3 linked regions of the Astyanax mexicanus genome follow. Each later gene encodes a partner of the first gene's protein in a complex. Links are inferred from orthologs where the notes say so. Each region holds a gene or a part of one and is shown in the gene's direction. Other genes may lie near its edges. The genes, in order: eif4a1a, kank1a and pdcd4b.

Region 1 (7,568 bases):
CCCGTGGCTGGGCTGTACTGAAGTAGTGACTGAGTGAAGAGAGCGGGGCTTGTGCTGCTGCTGCTAGTGGTTGGATGAAGAACTGCAGCTTCATGTAATGAGCAGTTTCACCAGCCATCCACACACAGCTCTGATAAACTGCTTGTTTTAATAGTGCACACTGTTGCTACCAAAAAAAGTCACTAGATGGCATTACCATATATATCTTAATAAATAATAATAATAATATTTATAATATTTATAATAATAATAATAATAATAAATATATTATTTAAATTTTATGAGGCATAAAATAATAACAAGAAAAAAAAACAAGAAAATCGAGAATCGAATCGAATCGTGACCCTCAAATCGAAAATGAAATCGAATCGAGGATTTAGAGAATCGTGACACCCCTAGTGAACATACACATACACATACACACATACTACACATACATCTTTTACAAAATTTGTTTCAATTGGATTTATTAGGAAGGCAGAGGTGCAACAGATAATCCAGTCCTACCAGCGCTCCCCGGGTACAAGCATGGTGCGAGGGTTCAGTGTGAACTACAAGCGCCATGTCCTGACCATGGATGATCTCAGCACCCTTTATGGGCAGAACTGGCTTAATGACCAGGTAAAGAATGGAAAGTTGTAATTAGGATAGTTAAGTGTAACTCTTATAGTTAATTATTTATTTTCCCTGTTGATCTGTTTATTTCAGGTTATGAACATGTATGGGGACCTTGTAATGGATACAGTTCCTGACAAGGTGAATATGACACTTACATTCTTTGTGGACAAAATACACAAAAACAATATCTTGTGAAAGTAAGCTGTCATTGTATATGATATGATTTAGGTCATTTAATGGGCTGAATGCATATAAAATAAATATTTTTTAATCCATGTTTTCTAGGTTCATTTCTTCAACAGTTTCTTCTATGACAAGCTCAGAACTAAAGGTTATGATGGGGTTAAGCGGTGGACAAAAAATGTAAGATTTTTCCTCTGATTTAAAAGAGATTATTTTTTTTACTGATCCAGTCATTTTTTTTTCATGGTTCTTCATTTGAGACTACACAAAGAAACAGAATGGAATGGAAGTCTTATGCCTTTAGAGCCTTTTGTTGTTTTCGATAATACCAATGGAAGTCTTATACTTGTGTGTATTTGTGTGCGTAATACATTTGGTTTTCTTTACACACTGATTTCAGGTTGATATCTTCAGCAAGGATCTACTCTTGATTCCTATTCATCTGGAAGTGCATTGGTCACTAGTGTCTGTGGACATTAAGCAACGGTTCATCACCTACTTTGATTCCCAGCGAACTCTTAACCGTCGCTGTCCCAAGGTCAGCACCTCTTGTGTGCTTATTTGTTTTCTAATTAGCTTTTGTTAATTTTTTCCCAGCGTAAACTTGCAGGCATGCTTCTAACCAGCTTCTAACCAGTTCTCTTTCCTTATTCTTCTTGTAGCATATTTTTAAGTACCTCCAGGCAGAAGCTATCATAAAACAACAGAGAGATTTTCTCACAGGGTGGAGAGGCTTTTTCAAAATGGTAAGTTATTCAACACCTGACTAATGACCACAAAGTGTTTCTTAAGAAATGTATGGGTCACTGTACATGTTTCTTTGTATGTATTTGTCTCTTATTTTTATAAAGATCAAAATTACATTAGATTTAAAGGGATTCACCGGTATTAACAATTTCAGATATACAGACCTAAAACAGTAAAGATCCCAGGTTGTGTCTATATAGACCATTCCTCCCATACTGGCTTTAAATAAACAGTCAGTCAGTCAGTCTGCAACGAAACTGTTGTATCACCTCTTTGTGATTTTGTTGCTCATTGTAAGCCAGCGTGCTAATCGCTCAGATATGTCTTAAGCTGAAAAGAGCTGCCACACAAATTGCCCAGTGCCGCAACCGAGACAGTTATATATACAGTTTTATGATAAAAAAACAATAATGTTCCATAAGGTATTGTAGTGAATATGCATTTATCTGGCCTTTGCTCACTTTTGTAATTTATTGTTTGTGGTAATCAAGTTAGCTAGCATGTTTTGCATTTTGTTTCAGTAATTGGGTGAATGTTCACCATGCAATATTATTATTTTAATAATTTTACAATTACTGATTTCCCACCTAAATAGAGACTTTTTGTATAGCCAAGCTTCTAGTTTAGCCCCAGCTCACTTCTATTTCACATGACAATGTGAAACATGAATGTGTATTATGACTTTGACCTGCATTGGTTACGTTTTGCTCATCTTGTTTGTTTGTTTTTTATTTGATTGTGCAGTGCTGGCTGATATATAGCCTCAAGTATTGAAAAACTAGACCTGGATTTCTCGCCAAATTTTTTTCTCTCCAACTTTTCAGTTTTCAGTGTTGTTAGAAATTTAGATATTGGGTTTGTAAACTGCTTACATTAGTTATTAGTATATGATGGTTTATGTTCTGAGTTTGCTGTGTTAACAGAGGTCATATCTGTGTTTTAGAATGTAGGCCGACAGAATAATGACAGTGACTGTGGGGCATTCGTTCTTCAGGTAAGTAAAAAAACTAAATCACCATGCCACTTTCTACCATTTGGAAAGGTATGATTTTACTTAATTCATTTATTTTTATTTTTTTCTGAACAAATTTATTTAAAATAGAGTTCCAGTGTATTAAAGAATTGAATTTCATCAACTATATCTAAGATATGTAGAAATATATATATTATACTTTGGTTTCTGTTTTGTACCTGATCTTTTTTCCCCAAATATTTGTCCACTTGGTCTGAGTCTCTTACTCTGTTTTGTTCTAGTACTGCAAGTGTCTGGCATTGGGACAGCTCTTTAGCTTCAGTCAGCAGGACATGCCTAAACTGAGGAGATTAATGTACAAAGAGCTTTGCCACTGCAAGCTCTCACTGTGATACTTATGTCAAAGCAATGCAGCCAGAGGAGGAAGAACAAAACATCTGGAAACTTCCATCTGTGTAAAAAAAAAAAAAAAAAAAACAGGACATTGCTGGACACTGCATTATCAAACCCACTTGTTTGTTTTTGTTTTGTATCAGTGTTACTTTCTTGTGCTTGTGGTGGCCAATGTCTTTTCTAATGGCTGCTTTGTTGAAATGTGGCATTTTAATGGGAGCCATTTTGGACTCTTGCAAGAGGCTTCCAAAGTGTTTTCTATGATTTTGCCTCCGTCTGTAAAGGTGTTACAAATCTTTTTTTTAATTGTGGGGAAGTGTCATGTTACTCAGATGTGCAAGCATAATCATATTTCACTTTTATTTTTCAATAAATCATGCCTTATGAAAATGAATGAGTGAGTGTGGTTAAATAACTGTTGGCAACAAGTATATTTTGTACATTGGAATGTAATAATAATATGCTTAATAATAATACACTATATACATAATACATAATATCATTGCCAGGTTTGATAATGGATATTTTGAGTTTATTTTTAGATTTTGGCAACACGGTGCAATGTATTGCATTTTTTTTTCTCTTGTATTAGGTTCTGGTTGTAATGTAATTATTTACATTGCCAAAAGCAGAAAAAATGTCATATCAGATTGTCAGTCTTTCTTTGAAAAAAAAAAATGATTACACTAGATTATATTAGATTAGATTATACCACAGTTTTTGGCTATTTCAACCACATATTTTGTGTAGTTCCAGTGTAGCAACACATACCATTTACAATGAACTGTAGAGTAACTGGTCAGGTTGAATGTACTTTATAATCTTAGTTCCGATGATTGTATGAAAAGTTGGTTCTTTTCAGTAGCCTGCAAAAATCTTGTATCCCAAAAATGTTAGGAGAGGTTACTTGAGAAAAAAAACCCTTATTAGTTTTATTTCAGTGGTAGAAAAATGTGAAGTAAAGTGGTAAAAGATTTCTTGGGGAAAACAAAGTGACATTAACTTAATTAAACTGAAAACTTCTGCTTTCAAACTGTCAAAAAAGTAAAGAATCATTTTTTCTGTGACTTATTTGTGTATATATATTTTTTGTATTATTTTTCATTATTTTTATCCTCCTTGAAGAGCTCTTGACCAGCAAAGGGTATGATAACCAGCTGGTCCTAAGCTAAATTGTTTTAGCAGGGTAGTTGATCAGTGTAATGTGAATAAAAAAGAGACTGAACATTTTAACAGCAAATTAGGGTATGAGAGTAATAAAAGAAATACATTTAAAAGTTTTTTAAAGAAATAAAGTATATTTGTCTGAATATTTACATTTGTCTACATAGGACATTTGTCTACATATGAGGAAATTCACAGTAAAATACTTCTTATATGGATAGACCAATCTACGCAGTCATATTTTCTATTCTAAAAGCTGATGTACAAAGAAACTGATTTAGAGAACAGACTGTGCCTTGACGTCAAGCCTGGGGCGGGCTGTGCCAGGGCGACGTGACGAATTTAACGTTTTAACCTATGAGGTGTCACGTTGGAAAGCCTTGGTTTTGATTGACGAGACTCTCCTCCAATCACAATTGTTCAGGCCTCGGTGCCTTGGCGTATTTAACACATTTCCGCCGTTGTGCTGTTCTTTGTGATAATGTCGGCTGAACATGAGGATAGGTAAGTGAGGGCTGGGAGAGTAGCGTGGGTGCTAATTTACCCTAATATAAATTTCTATATATATTTATATATTTAAACACGTTATTTGACTCGTTAGATATCTACATTTGGGCAGCGGTGGAGCGAGTTGACCTGGATGAGTGTTAAATTTAGATTAACCGGACTGTGAAGCGAATAAACGGCGGGGCACGGCAGAACGCTGGTTTAAGCTAGCTTAGGTAGATAAAAATGCGAGAATTGTTAGTATTAATGTCGGTAAATGCGTGTATTGTGTTTATTTAGGTCGGATTAGTTCTGTATCGATGTTAATTTGGTGTTTTAGCCCGTTTTCTATCCTTATGTTAAAACGTGCCGGCTCCTGTAACACAACGTGACCTGACCGGTTAGCTCGGTAGCTTAGCTTAGTTTAGCTGAGCGTGTCAGTTAGGTTAGCGGTGGCGGCCTGGGTGCCGGTGTTTTGTCGAATTGGTCTACCCGTTGATATGTGCTTTTTACGACCAGTGCGCATGCGCATTTTAAAGTTTATATAGTTATGATATGACCATGGAAAATACAAAAAAGTGGTTCTAATCACCCATTGTCATTTAACAGAACCCTAAAATATAGAATTTAGACTTTCCAAAATTCATACCGAGACTTTTTTTTTTAGCGAGCAACTTTTTAAATGTGCTTTTTTTTTTCTGGTATTTTTTTATGTTTAAATACACACTTTGGTAGCACGATTTGGTAAGGTAGCACATTTCGACAGAACACCGGCTCGTGGGCCGCACATGGCGCTTCTTCCTCCCTTTCTCTGTTCAGCGCTGTTTTCACTCAACATGTTTAGTACTGTTTTACGCTTTAGTTATTTCGATCTAAACATTTAAAATAAACCGGATTGTAGGGCTTTAGCGCCATAATACACGATTTCTGTGTGTGTTTGAACTAATTTCGATGAGAAGACCGGAGCACATGGCCTGCCGGTTTGGACAATGGAGAATTCCGCTATATGGGATGAGCAGGCCGGAGTCTAGTTTAGCTACAAGCTAAGCCAGGTTTATCGCTCCAGTCACTTCGGATTTGAAGAAATTTGAGATTAATAGTAGCCAGATTAGCTCACTCTTGATCTCTAAACTAGATTATTATAGTTAGATAACCCAGATTATATTGCTCATTCGTCTCTAGCGAGCTGCGTTTCGCAGGTTAGCTATTCGCTGCAGTCAGCTAACGCCTAGCTAGTTAACAAGCTAAAGCTAACATGCTTTACAAAGATCTATGCTTAGCTAAAAAAATCTGAAGTATTCGTAGTCTAAAGTCATGTAAAACAATAGTAGTGCGTGTTGTCTCTTCAGTGTTCCTCTTTAAATGTTATATTAACCCGATTGCCTGTGTAAAATCTTAATGTAGCTCTGTAGCCTAGCTCCTCGTTAGCTAGCTAAGCTAAACTCGTGTGAAACGTGAGGGCAAAGATGGCGCCCTCCAAAGCCTTTTTCACAGAAAACTGCGACGTGTCTGGCGGTGTCCGCTCCCCCTCCATCTTAGCTAAATCTTCTATCCACGTCCTTCTCATTTGATTAACTTTTCTGTTTTAAACCAACGATTACCTTTGTTAAATTCGGTCTTATTTATTGAGGCAGGTGAAAAGTGACTATGAAAATTGGAGCTTTAATTTGAAATCCAAAATCTCAATGTGTCTGAAAGATCAAATTACTCTACTTTCTTCCAATACATGACATTGCATTAATTCTGGTTTGTTCTCCTCCTTTTAGACCTAGAGACAATGGCCCCGAGGGCATGGAGCCAGATGGAGTCATTGAGGTGTGTTGAATATCTTTTTCAATCATCCATCTGTCTAATTACCTGTAATTGTGTTTCTGAAAAGTTCGTTGTTACAGGTTGACTAAAGTACTTCTGCTTATTCCACAGGGCAACTGGAAGGAAGTCGTCGATAGTTTCGATGACATGAACCTCCGTGAGAATCTTCTCAGAGGAATCTATGCCTATGGTTTTGAGAAACCTTCTGCTATTCAGCAGAGGGCTATTCTCCCTTGTATCAAGGGTACGTAGACAATATTTCTGTGTAGAATAGTCAACCTTTTATATACGTATGGTCGATTCACACATGAGTCACCATGTGCTCTTGTGAGTTAAATGCACCAATACTTTTTTTACTGTTGTGCCTCCCTTATCATCTGGGCAAGGAAGTGCCTGCTAGTGGCAGATTCCTATATCTGTTAGGGGAAGATCAAACACAGCCCATATTCATCCCAGTCTACTCACCACTATGAGCAAAAGACTGTTTCATGGTATGGGTACAGATTGCAAGCTGTTCCTACAGTAGATTTCTGCTGATGGAAAGCCTCTCTTTATTTTGCCAGTCTTGGCCTGTCTTAAATTTTGACTTTTATTTTGACAGGATACGATGTCATTGCACAGGCTCAGTCTGGCACAGGGAAGACTGCCACCTTTGCCATTTCCATCCTGCAGCAGATTGACATTGAGATGAAAGCAACACAGGCCATGGTCCTGGCCCCCACCAGAGAACTTGCCCAACAAGTAAGATCCAGTTACATGCGTGAGTAGTTCTGTTCTGTTGTGAGGTGACGCAAATGTTTTAGAATGACCCTTGTCATCTGGGCAAGGCAGTGGTCTGTCAGTGGCACCTAGTCCTATATCTGATAGGGGAAAATTGAAATTACCCATTCATCCCAGTCTACTCAGTACAGTGAGATAAAGACTGTTTCATGCTATGGGTACATATTCAACATGACTCACCGCTATGTTACTCATCATTTACCACCAGTTGTGAGTCATTGAGTTCTTAAGCTGTGAGGTGGGTTACAGCATTACTTGGTTTGCTGACTAAATGGAATTTTTTTTTTTTTTTTCTGTAAACACCAGTTAGGTTCAGATTTGCCTGGCCCTTGTAGATTTCTTTTTTTGACATACCTTTGCTGGTGTCTGTTCATGTTTAGATCCAGAAGGTAGTCCTTGCTCTTGGAGACTA
Region 2 (7,146 bases), on another chromosome or scaffold:
CCCCACACCCCCCCACCACAACATCCTAACCATAGAATGCCTGTGTGTTCAAGAAATATGGTCATGGCAACCTAAGGCCTTTTCAGAATAGGTTAAATCACATGTGTCAAACACAAGGCCCGCGGGCCAAATGTGGCCCGCCACGTCCTTTTATGTGGCCCGCGAGAGCTTGTAAGATCTTAGTGTCTATAATAAATGGATCAGAAGCGTGCTTTGACCAAAAACTACGTTTCCCACAATGCTTGTCGATTGTATTACCCGCGAAGTTACGGCTTACTGCCACTACACGGCAGTGTAGTCATTGATGTGGAAACCCTGCCGGAGGGAAGGCGTAAGGCGGGTGAAATGTTTATCCCATAATGTCCAGAAAAAGAGAAGCTGATTCAGACGGACGGCTGTGCTTCAAGGCGAAAGACCGGTATGCCTTTTGTGTTACGAAGAGTGTTACTGACCAAAATAAACGCTTTTTAGAAGAGATATAAGTTATGTGTAAATATTTATAAGACAATAGCTGACAAAATCTGTTTTAATGATTTTAATAAACATCACTGTGTCAGCGCTATTCAGTTTCACCGCAGCGAAGGACGAAGACGTGAATCACTTATCTAACCAGCCTGTACTGATTTCTGCTCCAATAACCCTTTCAATAACCTCCAATAGCCTTTTATAGTCTTCAGTAGCCTTCAACAGTCTAACCCTGCAGCCGTGGTGTGTGCACTAAACTCCGTAGTTATAAACATTCTGAGGTTAGCAGCGCGCTAACTGACCTGTTTATAATGTAACGTTAATCCGAGCAGTGACTCCGTGACGCTGCTCTGAACTGCTGCTGTTAGCTGCTTGTGCTGAAAGATGAGCTGTAGAGAGCTGTATTATCCGGTTAGTGGGGTTAAAACCTTTATTTCCTACACAGAAGAACTTAAAATGTTTTAAAAACGCTCCAGACTGGCTCAGCTGAGCCTGTAGCCCGTGGCTGGGCTGTAGCTCTGACTCAGTGAAGACAGCGGGGGCTTGTGCTGCTGCTGCAGCTCCCACTAGTGGTTGGATGAGGAACTGCTAAATCTGAGGAAATGCTAAATCTATCACATGTTCTTAACAGCTCACAATTTTTGATTTTATATTTATTAAGCCTTATTTCAGTATCAAACGTTTTGATCAAAGTTAATATAACTTGTATTTTATGTCATTTCTATTCACTTGAATAGTTTGGTTCTTGATTGATGGAGTTTTTGGATTTCATAACATGACAAATTAAAAGGATTTATGTTAATAGAGCAACAAGCAAACATTTTTTCCATTTAGAGTTATTTAACATTAAAGAGTAATTACATTCATTTTATATTACATTTGGTTACATTTTATTACATTTATAAGTTACATCTGGCCCTCAGAGGACAGCCAATATGCCAATGTGGCCCTCGGCCAAAATGAGTTTGACACCCCTGGGTTAAATGATTACAGAGGCAAAGAGGGGTATACTCCCTATGAATACCCTCAGTAAACCTTTAGACATACAGCTTGTTTAAAATAACTAATAGAGTGTTCAGTGAAAACTATAGAAAGCTATAGATTATGAATATTAATGACTTTAAAATCAATAAGAGATTGAGCAGACAAGCAGTCTGTGTTATCATACACACTGTCTTAACCTTGAGGATTATAAAGGTTCACCTTCAGGTCTACTGCTCTTAAGATAAGCCTCATTAAGCCCTTATGTGGACCACACACACACACACACACACAGAAAGTTATTTTCATCCAACCTGCTATCAGGTTTAGTCAATATAGAAACAAGATATAAATGTATGTATCATTTAAGATGACTAATGATTATCACGTAATGTAAAGAAATACAGGAAGGTCGTTGCTTAACTTTCCAAAGTAGGCCTTCAGCCAGGCTGTACTGCATTTACCCTAAGGTACAGTAACAAGCTGCTAGATAAGCTGCACATATTTAAAGCCATTTCATTCTGAATAGCTGGATGTTTCCCAAGGTATATATGTTGTTACTGATGGAAACTTTTATAAAGCGCCATTATTTTTGGTACCAGTGTGTTAAATGTAGCATAACATTAAGGTGACACTGAGTTCTAAAACACAGCTAATGTTTAACTTGCTGTAACATCTTGAACAAGTGAGCTCTTTGGCCCAAAAAGCACTTCAATGTCACCGGATTGAGCTTGATTATTAGCTTTGCTTACACACACACAAATAAATTCAGTATTCCTTACAAGTTTAGGAATAAACTGTTCTACACACTTTCAAAAAGGTCCCAAAAGAAAAAAAGTAAAAAAAAATCTAAATATCACATCTTTGTGTGGTTAAATCGTTGTCAGTTATGATGGAAACATCTAACACCAAAATGCACAACATAACACAAAAGCGGGAGAAAAGCATTGAGCAAGGGGTGCTTTATGTGTGTATTTTGACTGGTAACGTATATATACACTGATCCATAACCATAGCCATAACATTAGTACCACCAGTGCATAATATTGAGTGGGTCTCCCTTGTTGCCACCACAACAGATCTGGCCAAATCTGAAATAAGACCTCTCAGAGTGTCTTGTGGTATCTGGCACCAAGAGGTTAACAGCATTTTCTGTCACAAGTCCAGTAAGCTGTGAGGTCGTTCTCCCTAAATTCCTTCAAAGAGCCTTAGGTCCCTATGACCTCATCTTGGACCACTTTTGCTTGGTACTGATCACTGTATATTGGGAAAAGACCGAAGGCCTAAGCCTGATGTTTTAGAGATGATCTGACTAGTGTAATATAATAACAAAATCGAAGTCCTTTTTTTTAAATCCCGCTTTTCTCCCCAATTAAGCTATGTCAATCATCCCACCCGCTCAGCTTCTAAGCTCTACTCTACCCAGGGGCGTAGCAGCAAATTCTGGGCCCTGTACACCCTCTATGTTAATGGGCCCCTATCCATGCCAGTAAACAAAGGAAAGTGAGCGAAAAAAAAATCAGGATTTTCATGGGCCCCTCTCCCTACTCGGGCCCTGGGTAGTCAGGTCCACTTTTCCCCCCACTACCACGCCCATGACTCTACCTATCACTATTAATGCTCCAACACCATGAGGGTGAAGACTAGCACATGCCTCCTCCGATACCTGGGAAGTCAGCCACCACTTTTTCAACGAGCTTGACTTGGCTCTTGGTTTATTTTATTTGAATGCCAGGACGAGAAAAAAAAAGACTTACTTAAACCTTCAATCCTAACCACCTTACACTGAACGATCAAGATGACTCGTGAAATAGTGACGTGAACAATGTCAACAATCAAAAGTAGAGGTACGGGAAGCCAGAATAGGCAAGAATATTTTACGTGACAAACGATCTAAAAAAAAAAACTTCGACTTTTCGCACTTTATATGCCTTATATGGTTTTTACTTTAATATGTACAGTATTTTTAAAAACAGGTAGCACTTTAAAGTCATTATTTAAAACCATTATATTTTGCACTACTTTGATTTAAACATGTAAGTAGATTTTGCAAGAATTATATTTTTTATTGCATTTTTATCTTAAACAAAGGCAAATGAATAGCAGTGAAACTGTGAATCTTTGCTATACAAGGTTGTAACAAAAAAAAGGTGGGAGGGGGAGGCTTATAGGCAGAGTTGAACATAAAATGTGATCCATTAAAAAATATCAAGAACTAACAGTGTGGCAGAAAAATAAAGTGTTGATATGGACAAAAAAGTTGTGAGTCTCTAATAAATCACAGTATTGATAGACAATTTGCAATTTAATATGCAATATGTATTGTATGTAAACTCCACAAGAAGCATGATGGGAAATAATCTCAAAAAGAATCTTGCAGTCAGTGATCCCCGTTTTTTGCAAAATCTTAGCCTGTGAGAAAAAAGTCTGTGAGTAAAAAGTCTGTGACTTGTCTTTAGACGTGAGAGGGTGTCAGACTTTAGTCTGTTCAAAGTATTTTCAGTTTTTTTTTTTTAAAGTAGTATAGTGTATGGGCAGCATAAGCTGCACTATCAATGCCACCGTGCGCATGCGCAGATGTGGGGGCGCTTCGCCGCGGTGAGTACAGGAGCTGAAGTGCAGGAACAGGAGGCACTGCAGCTGAACAGAGGGCAGAACAGAGAGAGAGAGAGAGGGAGAGAGACATAAACATCCAAATACAGGTTTTAAACGTGGTTGAACACAGTCTCGCGGTAAGGAGAGTCTGGCTGTAGGTCTGTGCAGTGAACACGTGACTAAACACAAACACCTGGTGAGGGAAACCTGCGAAACCCGAGCCTGGAACTTCATGACAGAGCGCTGCGGACCAGCACGAGCGGTGAGTTCTGAGCCACTTCTGTGTGTTTTTTGTGTTTTTAATCGGTTTAAAACGTTTAAAACGGACTCTTCAGACTTGAGGTGTAGAAGTTCAGGAAAGTCCTCAGACCGAGTGTTTCTGCTCGAGTCTGCTGGAGACTGCACCACTCCAGCGTCTTAATTCAGACCATAATTATAAGATATGTAACGTTAATTGTAATGATGAGAAACCCATCAGCACTGAACGTCCTGAGACCTGGTGTTTTCTCGAAGCTTTGAGGTGATATCTGATAGCTGGCCGGCTGGACAATGTTAGGTTACCTGAATTACTGCGTGTTTTCTCTCCACCCTGTTCTCCTTCAGGTTTCTCAGTTCTCTCACACCTGCTCTCCTGTTTGAATTATTTTAGGAGTTTTAAGGGATTTAGGAACCTATGTTTCTTCTCCCCTAAACAGCTTCGGCTCTTTTTATTAGTAAGGAAATAAATAACTGCTGTTTAAAAACAACAAGTGCTGTTTGTGGTGTGTTGAATACAGAGCTGCATATACAGCTGTGGAAAAAATAAGAGACCACCTAAAATTCATTAGAGTTTCTTTGATTTTACCAAATTTAAAAACCTCTGGAATATAATCAAGAGCAAAATGGATGATCACGAGCCATCAAATCATGCTTATTTGCTTGAATTTGTGGCATAAAGTTATCCAAAAGCAGTGTGTAAGACTGCTGCAGGAGAACATGCCAAGATGCATGAAACCTGTGATTAAAAGCTAGGGTTATTCCACCAAATATTGATTTCTGAACTCTTAAAACTTTATAAATATGAACTTGTTTTCTTTGCATTATTTGACGTCTGAAAGCTCTGCATAATTTTTGTTATTCAGCCATTTCTCATTTTCTGCAAATAGTTATCAGTCGTTTATTGAATAAAACAACAAGGTCCGTTTTACTCAAACATATACCTATAAATAGCAAAATCAGAGAAACTGATTCAGAAACTGAAGTGGTCTCTTATTTTATTTATTTTTTTTACCAGAGCTGTAGACTCTACAGATAAACTGCAATATTGCGATATTAGGTGATATCTAGGTTAAAATATTAGAATCAACATACCAGCTGTTTTCTATTAACATGAATAATGAATTAGGCCATGCCATACATTGGACAATTAGTAATTGACATTATTATTGTGACAGGACTTGAGAATTTGTCATAATATCTGCATACTATGCATGGATATCTGTAGGATATCGTACACAAACACGGCAAAATACCAAACAAATATTACATAATTTTCATTGGCTAAGTATTGGAGTGGATTAACAAAAGTGTAGGATTTACAGACAGTATCACTATTTTCCAATATAAAATGTAGCTAAAAGCTAGCTGTAAAGGTCACATCTCACAAATCTTTGGCATCTAGTGTCTGTTTCAAATGACTTGGCTGATCGAGTGCAATTTATATGTAGTACAAACTGTATTTCTTAGTTTCTAACACCACTTGTAGACTTGGATTTGGACACTTTCTTATCATCAACATGCTTTGCTGAGCAATGTTTAAATCTCCATACAAGCTACTGTACATACAACCTAAACCTACTGTTAGGAAAATATCTGAACATCACAGCATTCAGTTACTACTAACCATAACTTGCTATAATGAGTGGAACATCATTGTCTGCAAATCTCAGGCTCATTGTGGCATTATACTGCATGCTTGAATATCTGTAGATACCCATATCAATCAGATACCATCTTTGTCCCTCCTTTCTCTTTTTAGTAATACATTTGTTTGAAAGCACTTAACTTAATATGGTCATCTAAATAATGTCACCCTCAAATTGTGACACAAATATTCAAAGTCTCCAAAGAAACAAACAGATACATTATGGCAGGTCTATGGCACCGCTAAAGTTAGGTGCATTTATCATGTTTTTAAATTAAACTGAACCTGAGTTATGAAGCCAAAAGAATACTGGCACGTAGGCTTGAACACACGTAGGCTCTGGTCCTAGGGAAACATTTACGTAACAGTGTGGGCTAAATGGATCATATCACATACACATTGACTAAATCTAGCAATCTAGACACAAGTGAGTTTAATCAGATGTTCTTGAAAGGTGATATCAGCAGACTGTGCTGGACACAGGCCCTCAAGGACCAGAACTGAAGAACCTCCTCTCTGCAAAAATGTCTTACAAACAAACGATGCTTGTTTTCACTGAGATATTTTGTTCCGTTTTCCTTTTATGAAATGACCCCAAATGAGATCTTGCACAATATTCATAATTGGTGTTATTCCGAGCTTTTGTTGGATTCTTTTTTCCTCTTTTAAAAACTAGATAACAAAAACATGGACAAAGCTGTTTTTATTTAAATATGGCTTCACATATGTTGTTTTTTCACATTATTTAAAAATTTCATGATAAATAGACCAATAGAAACTCTCTAAAACCTGTTGACTTATCTGTGACTTTCGTTCTAAATTAACATTTTTTTTTTTTTTTACTTCTTCGTTGAATTCATGTTTTTATGATACAATTTTTTTTGGCATAACTGCTACAGTATACTATACTATTCATATTAATACAGTGGTAAAACATTGCTAAAGCAACATAACACTAGAGCTATTTTATATTTGATATAGTATTGTGATGCATATTATTAGCCATCGACAATAAAGTTTAAGGTTATTATTAAGGATATCATCAGTTAAGATCAATGACCCATTCCATTACCCAGAGTGTAAAAAAAAAAAACCTGCTTAACTACATGTCACATGATGTCACAGAAATGATTAAACTCACTGTACTATTCATAAAAGAGTATTTGAATAGTAGAATAGCAGAAACTGTCGCTGCTGATGTA
Region 3 (7,522 bases), on another chromosome or scaffold:
TTTATTGAATGTGATCCAAAAAAAGCTCAACATTTAAAAAAAGACAATAATAAGCACTTACCAAATGTGCTCAGCTAAGAAAAACATAGTGCATCCAACAAGAACTAAATAACTAAAGTACTGATCTATTTTACTGTGCAACTTCTATATTCAGATTCACCAGCATGCCTTCAGAAAAGACCTTTAACTAATAAAATATGTCTCTATTGCCTTTTGTAGCTTTTGTTCTGCTGGATTCACAGGAATGTGAATTTAAGTTTGGTTATTTTTTAATGTGATGTACACTGGACGTTCTCAGAAACTGGATAAAGACGCAATTTTTCTGATTATGAAGTGCCTTTTATACAATCTGTATATTTTTTGCTCAGGTGAGGAGAAATAAACTCAGTAAAGTCAAGATAATATTTCCCATGTTTTTACAGAGCTGCTTTTTAAATGTGCAACTTTTATAAAGAAACAAGAATCATCAGTTCTGCATAAATCTGTCCATCAGACAGACCAGGCCTTAAATTAATATCTGGAAAAGCGTGTTTATTAATCTATGCTGTGTATAACGCTCAGACAGTAGCAAAACTTGAACTGGACCATGTGAGTTATTTATGATATTTAAAATGAACTCCTGTAAAAACAAATGTGAAGTGTGTGTTATTGCAGTAGATTACAGCAGCAGAATGTGTTTTTTTGTATATTAATAATAATATCGCTGTCCCACTTTTGAGATCTGTGAAGTTTCTTTAAATATTTTGTGGGATGTTTTAATGCAAATATTTCAATAAACAGTTTTGAGAAACCTGAGCTTTTTTCTGTTTCAGTGTGTGAAAAAAGACAAATACAACCATATTAATGATATTTAAATTGTTGAAGAAAAGTTGATTTGAATAAGGTCTATACACAATATTGTATGTACAAACATCATTAATATTTGGGGTAATGTCTTAATGTTTTAATAATAATTATAAACACCACAGGATGCAGCAGCATCAAATTAAAATAAAATCTTGAAAATTAAGTTTAAAGAAATGATGCGAAGGCTTTCTGACAGTGGGCAAATGCATAAGTTGATATTGGAAATTGTTATTTTCAACTATTATTGAAATGAGAAATGGCTAAAATTACAAAAAAGATGCAGAGCTTTCAGACCTCAAATAATACAAAGAAAACAAGTTCATATTCATAAAGTTTTAAGAGTCCAGAAATCAATATTTGGTGGAATAATTATTGTACTGTGAATCTTTTTATAATTTATAATATAAACAAAAAAAGTTTGGTTCAGTTGAATCGGTTCATTGATTCATTGGTTCATTGATTCATGAAGGACTCGTTCACAGCAGCGGTTACGTAACGCTGCTCCTCTGTGATGGGCCCTTTTCACATTTCCGGGTTTGGAATGCGGAAGTAAAAAATAGCAGGGTAAACAACGCGTGTAGAACGTATAGACGAAATGGAGCAGCATAGGAAATGCTACTGCAGCGAGCCTTTCTGCTCAAATAGCAAACGCAAACAACCAAACCTGAGTTTCCACGACTTTCCAAATGTCACACGTTTACGCGGTAAATAGATAAGAGCAATTAGGAGAGAGGAAAATGCCACATTTACGGTTCTGCGCGGCAGTACATATGCGTGTAGCCAGCACTTCAGGCCGGATGAGCTATATGTCAAAGCGGGAGGGAACAGAGCCAGGAATCAGTTTCACCACGATTCGCCTGGAATAATTTTGGGAGTCGATATGAAAACCGCCTGACACCCTACGAGAGGGCAAGTACTCGTCTCGGTTTGAACACTGAAGCTGCCATGGGACAGAGAGACGAGGAGGACCTGAAGCTATGCTAACCGAGCCAAGCACGATTACTGCCGTCCACCGTCTCCTGGTGAGTAATTTTACAACTCTTATATCCATTTACACAATAAATACACAAGCCAGCTACCTAAATATCCATTTGAATAATTAATAATTACCTGAGTAATAGTCTCAAGACAGGATACCTACCAAAATAACATTGGAGATACAATATATACTGAATAACCGTATAAACTTACAATTCATAACTGAATAAAGTCTTAATAAGATATAATTATTTGGATTAAGTCTTAATATGCAATATTTACTTGAATAAAGTTTAAACTTACAATTAATACCTGAATAAAGTCTAAATATGCTATACTTATTTAAATAAAGTCTTAATATGCAATACTTACCTGAATAAAGTCTACACCTACAATTCGTACCTGAATAAAGTTTAAAATTGAAATACTTATTTGAAGTCTAACTTGCCTAAATAAAGGCTAAATATTCAATATTTACCTAAATAAAGGGTCAATTTGGCATGTTTACCTGAATTACTGACTTGTGTCCGAGATATCATTTGTTGTTTAAAAACTTTCCAAGCACAAGTATGGTTTATGTATTATACCAAAGAATACCAGTATTTGTTAGCTAAACATAGCACAGTAAAATATACCAGTTTACCTAATTAGTAATTGGTGTACAATATAGGTCAATTCAGAGTTTGACTTAAATTTTGTCAGATTATCTGTCAATATAAAACTAAGCTAATGTATTTTTTCCCCCCTTTTGTTGCAGGCAAAGTGGACGCTGCAGCTGCACGAATAAGGGAGCTGGAGCAAAAAGTGATTGAGCTGGAGAATTAAATAAAACAGCTTGCAGACCAACCTAGGCTTAACCATTTCTGCTCAACTAAAGAAGAGTTCCACTTTTTCCACACAATTTTCCTTGACTCAGTACAAAATTCTGTCTAAATATTTTAGCTTTAACTTACCATGTGAGCTTCATTTGTTTTTTGTATTTTTAGATTTTTTAAATTTGAGTGTTTTATAAATATAATAAATGAAATACATTTTAATCCTCTTGTCCCAGGTGCTTTGTATTTGTTTTATCTGTAGACAAAGTCATAGATGATTTGGTTACGACTGTATTCACTAGGCATACCATTGCAGGAAATACAATATTCTAAATATACAGTTTAAACAATATAGCTAGTTGTCAGAAATTATGCATTTTTTGAAGCACAACCAAAATGTTATGTTTACCCAAAATATCCTGATTTTTAAAGTTAATTAAAATGTAAAATAGTTCCATGACACCCAATACAAATAGATTGATTCAGTAAACAAAATGTCAATGAACTGAAATGTTTTCTTGCTTGTTGCTGGCTCTGCGCTACATAAAAAGACAATTCAAGCAAAGAATACAAGTTTATTTAGAAAATTCCATATTTCCACAAAAAACAAACTATAACAGAACATGCTGCTGGGAGAGAGACTGTTTTAAAGCCCATGGTGCTTTAATGGGCAATCTGATAAAGCAGAGCAATAGTATGATTGGAAAAGGCCTTCCCCGCAACACTTGCACGATGTCTTTATTACCTCCACAGGATCTGGGTGGTATGAAGTCACCTGTAATGCAAAGCACAGACATACTGTCAGCTCTGAGAAACATTTTTTAAACGGTACAAAAAGCACCAAATGTTCATATCTATATTTAAGCCATTCACAATTACTACTACATCTTTAACCTCTTGGCTGACCCTAAACAATCTACCTGAATAAGTTAACCTCCTAAAAACCAAGCAAAAATTTAATATGATGGACAAATTAACACTTGACCTTCACATTCTACATTCTAAGTGGTTGGTATATCTGCTTCACTACAGACGACTAACTTTGGCCACTGGCTTAACCTACCTAGTGGGAAGCTAGCAACACATAGAATCATCTTAGGCTTACCTGAACTGTTTCACCTACGTACAAGATAACTAGGGTTAAATGTGGTTTAATATATTTTTTTTCTCCCTGTCGATTAACTTTCCTAAACCACCTGCACTGTGTTTGAAACTGTATATACAAGGGAAAAACAGTTCTGTCTTCTATCCAACTCAAAGCCTTAAATAAGCACATCAGATCCTGGGCAGTAGCTACAGTAATGGTTAAAACAGAAAAGAAAACATTAACTAAACAGCTACTTAGCATTACTTGACGTACTGTTGTCTATCTAAGTTAGCAAGCTCGCTAGTTAGCGGTAGCTAACCTAACTGAATTGGAAGCCTCGCTAACTTGTATAAAAATAACTACTTACCCTCAAAATTAAAGATGTATTCCTCGACAAAAAGCTTGTAATCCTTTTCAACCTTCGATATTTTCGCTACTGATACCTCATCTATAATCAGTGAGATGTCGGAGAAAGAAATCAATAGAAGTTTGTGCAGAGACAGCAGTGAACTCCATTCTAGCGCCGCTGTGTTTACCCTGCTAAACCAAACCGGAAACACGTCATCAAGCTCTGTGAAAAGGGCCCATTCAGTACCCAGCTCCACCGCCAGGGGGCGGGGCCTGCCCGGACATGTCCTCATAGAAAACACCAGAACGATTTTCTCACGCCGTGTTCTCATTGGTGGATTTGCGGCTCAACCTCCAACAATGCGGCCAATCAGAGGGCTCGCCTCCCAACCTTAAATAACCGGGCCAATCAGAAAGCAGAAGGGAGAGCTGGACGCGGCCGTGTTGCTGGGTAGAGAACAAAGCCGAGACACAGATCTGCGTTATAACTTAAAAAGCGAACAGGCCGGAGACTGTAAGTGATTTATTCCGCTTTTTATTGTTTAATTGCGGGTTTTGTGTGTTTTTATATCTTAAAGTGTGTCTGTAATCGCGCTCGGGTGTTTATTTCTGTGAATAAATGCTTTATTTTGGTGCAGCGGGGGTTTGTTTATGTTGTGGAGGCTGTGGGCTGACCCTTTAACTCAACTGCAGCGTTTATTCAGTTTTATACCATAAATTAACACGATTATACTGAGTTCTCCTGCATTTTCTGACTGTAGTTCAGACTTAAACCCAATTTATTAGGTTCTAATCTTACCTAGTTAGCGCTAAAATAGCTAACGTTACCCTACATTCATTCATATAGAGTTATAACCTACGGTAGATTGACGTTAATGTGAGAGCTAACAGCAGCAGTAAATTAATGAATCCTGTTTTTATAACGTTAATCTAACACTAGCTAGCTGGTCTTTATTTCTATATAACACTGAAATTCCCGCGATAAATGTGTTTTTGCTTTAACCTGGATATTTAATTTAACTGTGCTCTGTTTGGCTTCGTACTGGAATTTCCCTATTCCACCTTAAACAGCCCTGCAGTACCACTGCGCTGCTTAAGGTGGAATGATGGTAATGTTAATCAGAAACCAGCTTTACCTCCCTAACAAACTAAATAAATATTTACCTACCTTAAATATACACTAACTCACTAACTAAAGTGATTGCTATTTGTAATATGTTTATTTCAATTTTAAACTTGCATCAACAGACAAACTAGCAACAAACAAACTCATTTATAAAATATTAAAAAAGAGATATCCACCACATTACTGAAGTTACACACACTTATAAACAATCCCAGTAAAAAGAGAATAAATACAAATCAGACTATCCAAAATATGTAAAATAATCTTATAGAAGATTTATCTGCATACAATCACAATTATTGAAAAATTGAAGATGATCAGTTATCATATTTGGTTAAATAAATCTGTTGATGAATATAATATACAATCAGAAACTCCATAGCTATACACTCTCTATACACAATTTTATCCCAATTTTTAACAGGGGGAACCTCATCACTAATCCTAGACTGTAAGAGATTCTTCTTTGCTGAATAAATCAGAATATTTATATAATCTTATCTTATTTTTATTTTTCAGTGTTATACTTGGAATACCTAAAATTGAATGAAAGACTATTGAGGCCTGTATCAACTCAAATTTTTCAAATAATACCCAAAACTGAAATCAATACTTTTCTATTTTAAAACATGACCAGATACACTGTGTATAGCCCCCTACTATTTGGGCAGTAAGGAGAGAGAGTTTTGGGTCAAACTTATTTTTAACATAAGGTATACTGAAACTGATTTTCCTAGCTTTATCCCAGACCTCATCCCAATCATCAAGTATAACTACTGACAGCTCTTTCTCCCAGCTCTGATCAAGATCATCTGTATTGGTTTCAGAAGTTAAACCTAAAATTAAGCAGAAGCCAAAAATCTGATTATTTACTGATATAAATGCTGTGTAATCTCTCAGGTTGTGTGGTGTTCCTCCTCCTCCTCCTGCTGCTGATTACTCACCCACGCTCAAATAATGGCAACTGACTGTGAGGCCTGGCTCAACTCCAACCCAGTGGGTACGTTGATTTTTGTGTTTAGCTCTTATAGGCTAGTGCAAATCTCTGTCTGTCATAATTTGAGCACACAGACTGTGCCTTACACTGTCAAAATCTCTTGATAAATAGACCAATAGAAAATCTCCAAACTCATCTGGAATAAATAAACTCTCTTTGCATTGAACTCTCCAGCACTTCAGTTACAAATGAACAATTAGTAGTCACTGAGATTTGTACTTTGCAAATTCTAAATTAATCGATAATTTTGATTTATTGAGACTAATAATTGCAGCCATACATCAGTTACTTCCTTCCATTCTCATTCTCTGTGTGTGTGTGACACATGACTTGCTCTCAGCTTAGTCACAAATTCTCTTGCTTTATTTCTGATCCTTCAGGTATTTTTTATGTTATCTGGTGTTAAATCGAGGAGGATGGTTCTTTTAACACACTTCTTCTCTCCTACACACAGAGGAAGTTGCCCTGAGCGACTCTGATCAGTCTGGGAATGAGGAGAACGGCATTCAAACCAAAATTTTTGATGAAATAAACGGGAACTGGATCTTGGCTCCGGCTGGTACCGTCCACGAGGCTCGTCTCAAGGCCAAGGCCAAGCGGCGTCTCCGCAAGAACTCCTCCAGAGACTCGGGCCGGGGAGACTCGCTCAGCGACAACGGGGACGCCGTCAGGTCCGTCGCCCCGCCCACAAGCCCCAAGGGCAGAGTGCTGGACCGCAGGTCCCGACTGGGAAAGGGCCGAGGACTTCCAAAGAAAGGTACCAGAACCTTCACCTCAAAAACCTGCAGTGATTATTAGTTTAACATGATCTGAAGAGCTGTGTTTTTTTTTATGTTTTATAATTTCTTGCTGGCTCTTGTTTGCCTTTTTTTTGTTTCCCTTTTATATTTCAATTAACAGCTTTGTTTTTTTGTTTTACTGTTCCTCTTATTTCTTTTTTTGTCTGTTTCTTTTGAAGTTTAAAGCTCACCTTCTGTTTTTGCTGATTTGATCATGTTTAATTCCAGATTTTAAGGTTTATCCTTTACATCATTCTTTTTAATTATGTACTTAACTAGTCATTTCTTAAGGAAATATAGTTTTTTTTTTTTTTCACTTCAGAGAAAGTGTTATTTACACATTAAACCCTCAGACGCTCCTACAGAGGCTCAGCAGTCTTCTCTGAGGAGTTGTGGGAAGACGGGCTCCACATGCTGCCGGTGCAGCAAAGCAGAAGCTAATTGAACTGAATGCCCTGCAGAACCAGCCTGCAGGCATTTAGACATTAGACCAGCCACACAGATATGACTTGTGTGCATATAAAATATATATATATTAGGGCTGTC

The links.
Region 2: the proteins of eif4a1a (region 1) and kank1a are in contact, whole or in part, in a crystal structure (PDB 7DDX), measured with the Mus musculus proteins. The link is inferred for Astyanax mexicanus from reciprocal best matches to the Homo sapiens genes EIF4A1 and KANK1. Residues at the interface, in NP_659207.1 of Mus musculus: Lys99, Val140, Arg141, Val144, Gln145, Lys146, Leu147, Gln148, Met149, Glu150, Ala151, Arg168, Arg169, Tyr170, Ser172; in NP_852069.4 of Mus musculus: Gly1168, Asn1169, Asn1171, His1175, Tyr1176, Val1178, Asn1201, Lys1202, Ala1203, Tyr1205, Met1209, Leu1210, Leu1213, Ala1214, Ala1215, Gln1240, Ala1241, Leu1248, Ser1251, His1252, Arg1254, Asp1273, Glu1274, His1285.
Region 3: the proteins of eif4a1a (region 1) and pdcd4b are in contact, whole or in part, in a crystal structure (PDB 2ZU6), measured with the Homo sapiens proteins. The link is inferred for Astyanax mexicanus from reciprocal best matches to the Homo sapiens genes EIF4A1 and PDCD4. Residues at the interface, in NP_001407.1 of Homo sapiens: Gln75, Thr109, Arg110, Glu111, Ile135, Gly137, Val140, Thr158, Gly160, Arg161, Asp164, Glu186, Leu188, Ser189, Arg190, Gly191, Phe192, Gln195, Ala214, Thr215, Met216, Pro217, Glu240, Leu241, Thr242, Asn280, Thr281, Arg282, Arg283, Thr329; in NP_055271.2 of Homo sapiens: Pro170, Gln173, Glu174, Glu177, His178, Glu183, Glu186, Met187, Asp190, Leu209, Glu210, Lys212, Glu249, Leu250, Leu252, Asp253, Thr254, Pro255, Arg256, Gly320, Gln321, Gln322, Ser323, Val324, Leu327, Glu348, Lys352, Glu355, Val356, Pro357.

The regions. Positions count from the first base shown.
Region 1 is NC_064415.1:26,207,169-26,214,736, reverse strand, and holds the start of eif4a1a (eukaryotic translation initiation factor 4A1A), read left to right. Parts: upstream 1-4,489; 5' UTR 4,490-4,559; coding exon 4,560-4,582; intron 4,583-6,330; coding exon 6,331-6,379; intron 6,380-6,487; coding exon 6,488-6,620; intron 6,621-6,977; coding exon 6,978-7,117; intron 7,118-7,536; coding exon 7,537-7,568. Other genes in the region: senp3b (sentrin-specific protease 3b), read left to right, coding at 474-621, 709-756, 904-981, 1,202-1,339, 1,464-1,547, 2,492-2,542, 2,803-2,913. UniProt on the Homo sapiens protein: ATP-dependent RNA helicase which is a subunit of the eIF4F complex involved in cap recognition and is required for mRNA binding to ribosome.
Region 2 is NC_064429.1:18,694,473-18,701,618, reverse strand, and holds the start of kank1a (KN motif and ankyrin repeat domain-containing protein 1a), read left to right. Parts: upstream 1-4,052; 5' UTR 4,053-4,303; intron 4,304-7,146.
Region 3 is NC_064430.1:22,176,174-22,183,695, forward strand, and holds the start of pdcd4b (programmed cell death protein 4b), read left to right. Parts: upstream 1-4,483; 5' UTR 4,484-4,588; intron 4,589-6,100; 5' UTR 6,101-6,157; coding exon 6,158-6,200; intron 6,201-6,651; coding exon 6,652-6,954; intron 6,955-7,522. UniProt on the Homo sapiens protein: Inhibits translation initiation and cap-dependent translation. May excert its function by hindering the interaction between EIF4A1 and EIF4G. Inhibits the helicase activity of EIF4A. Modulates the activation of JUN kinase.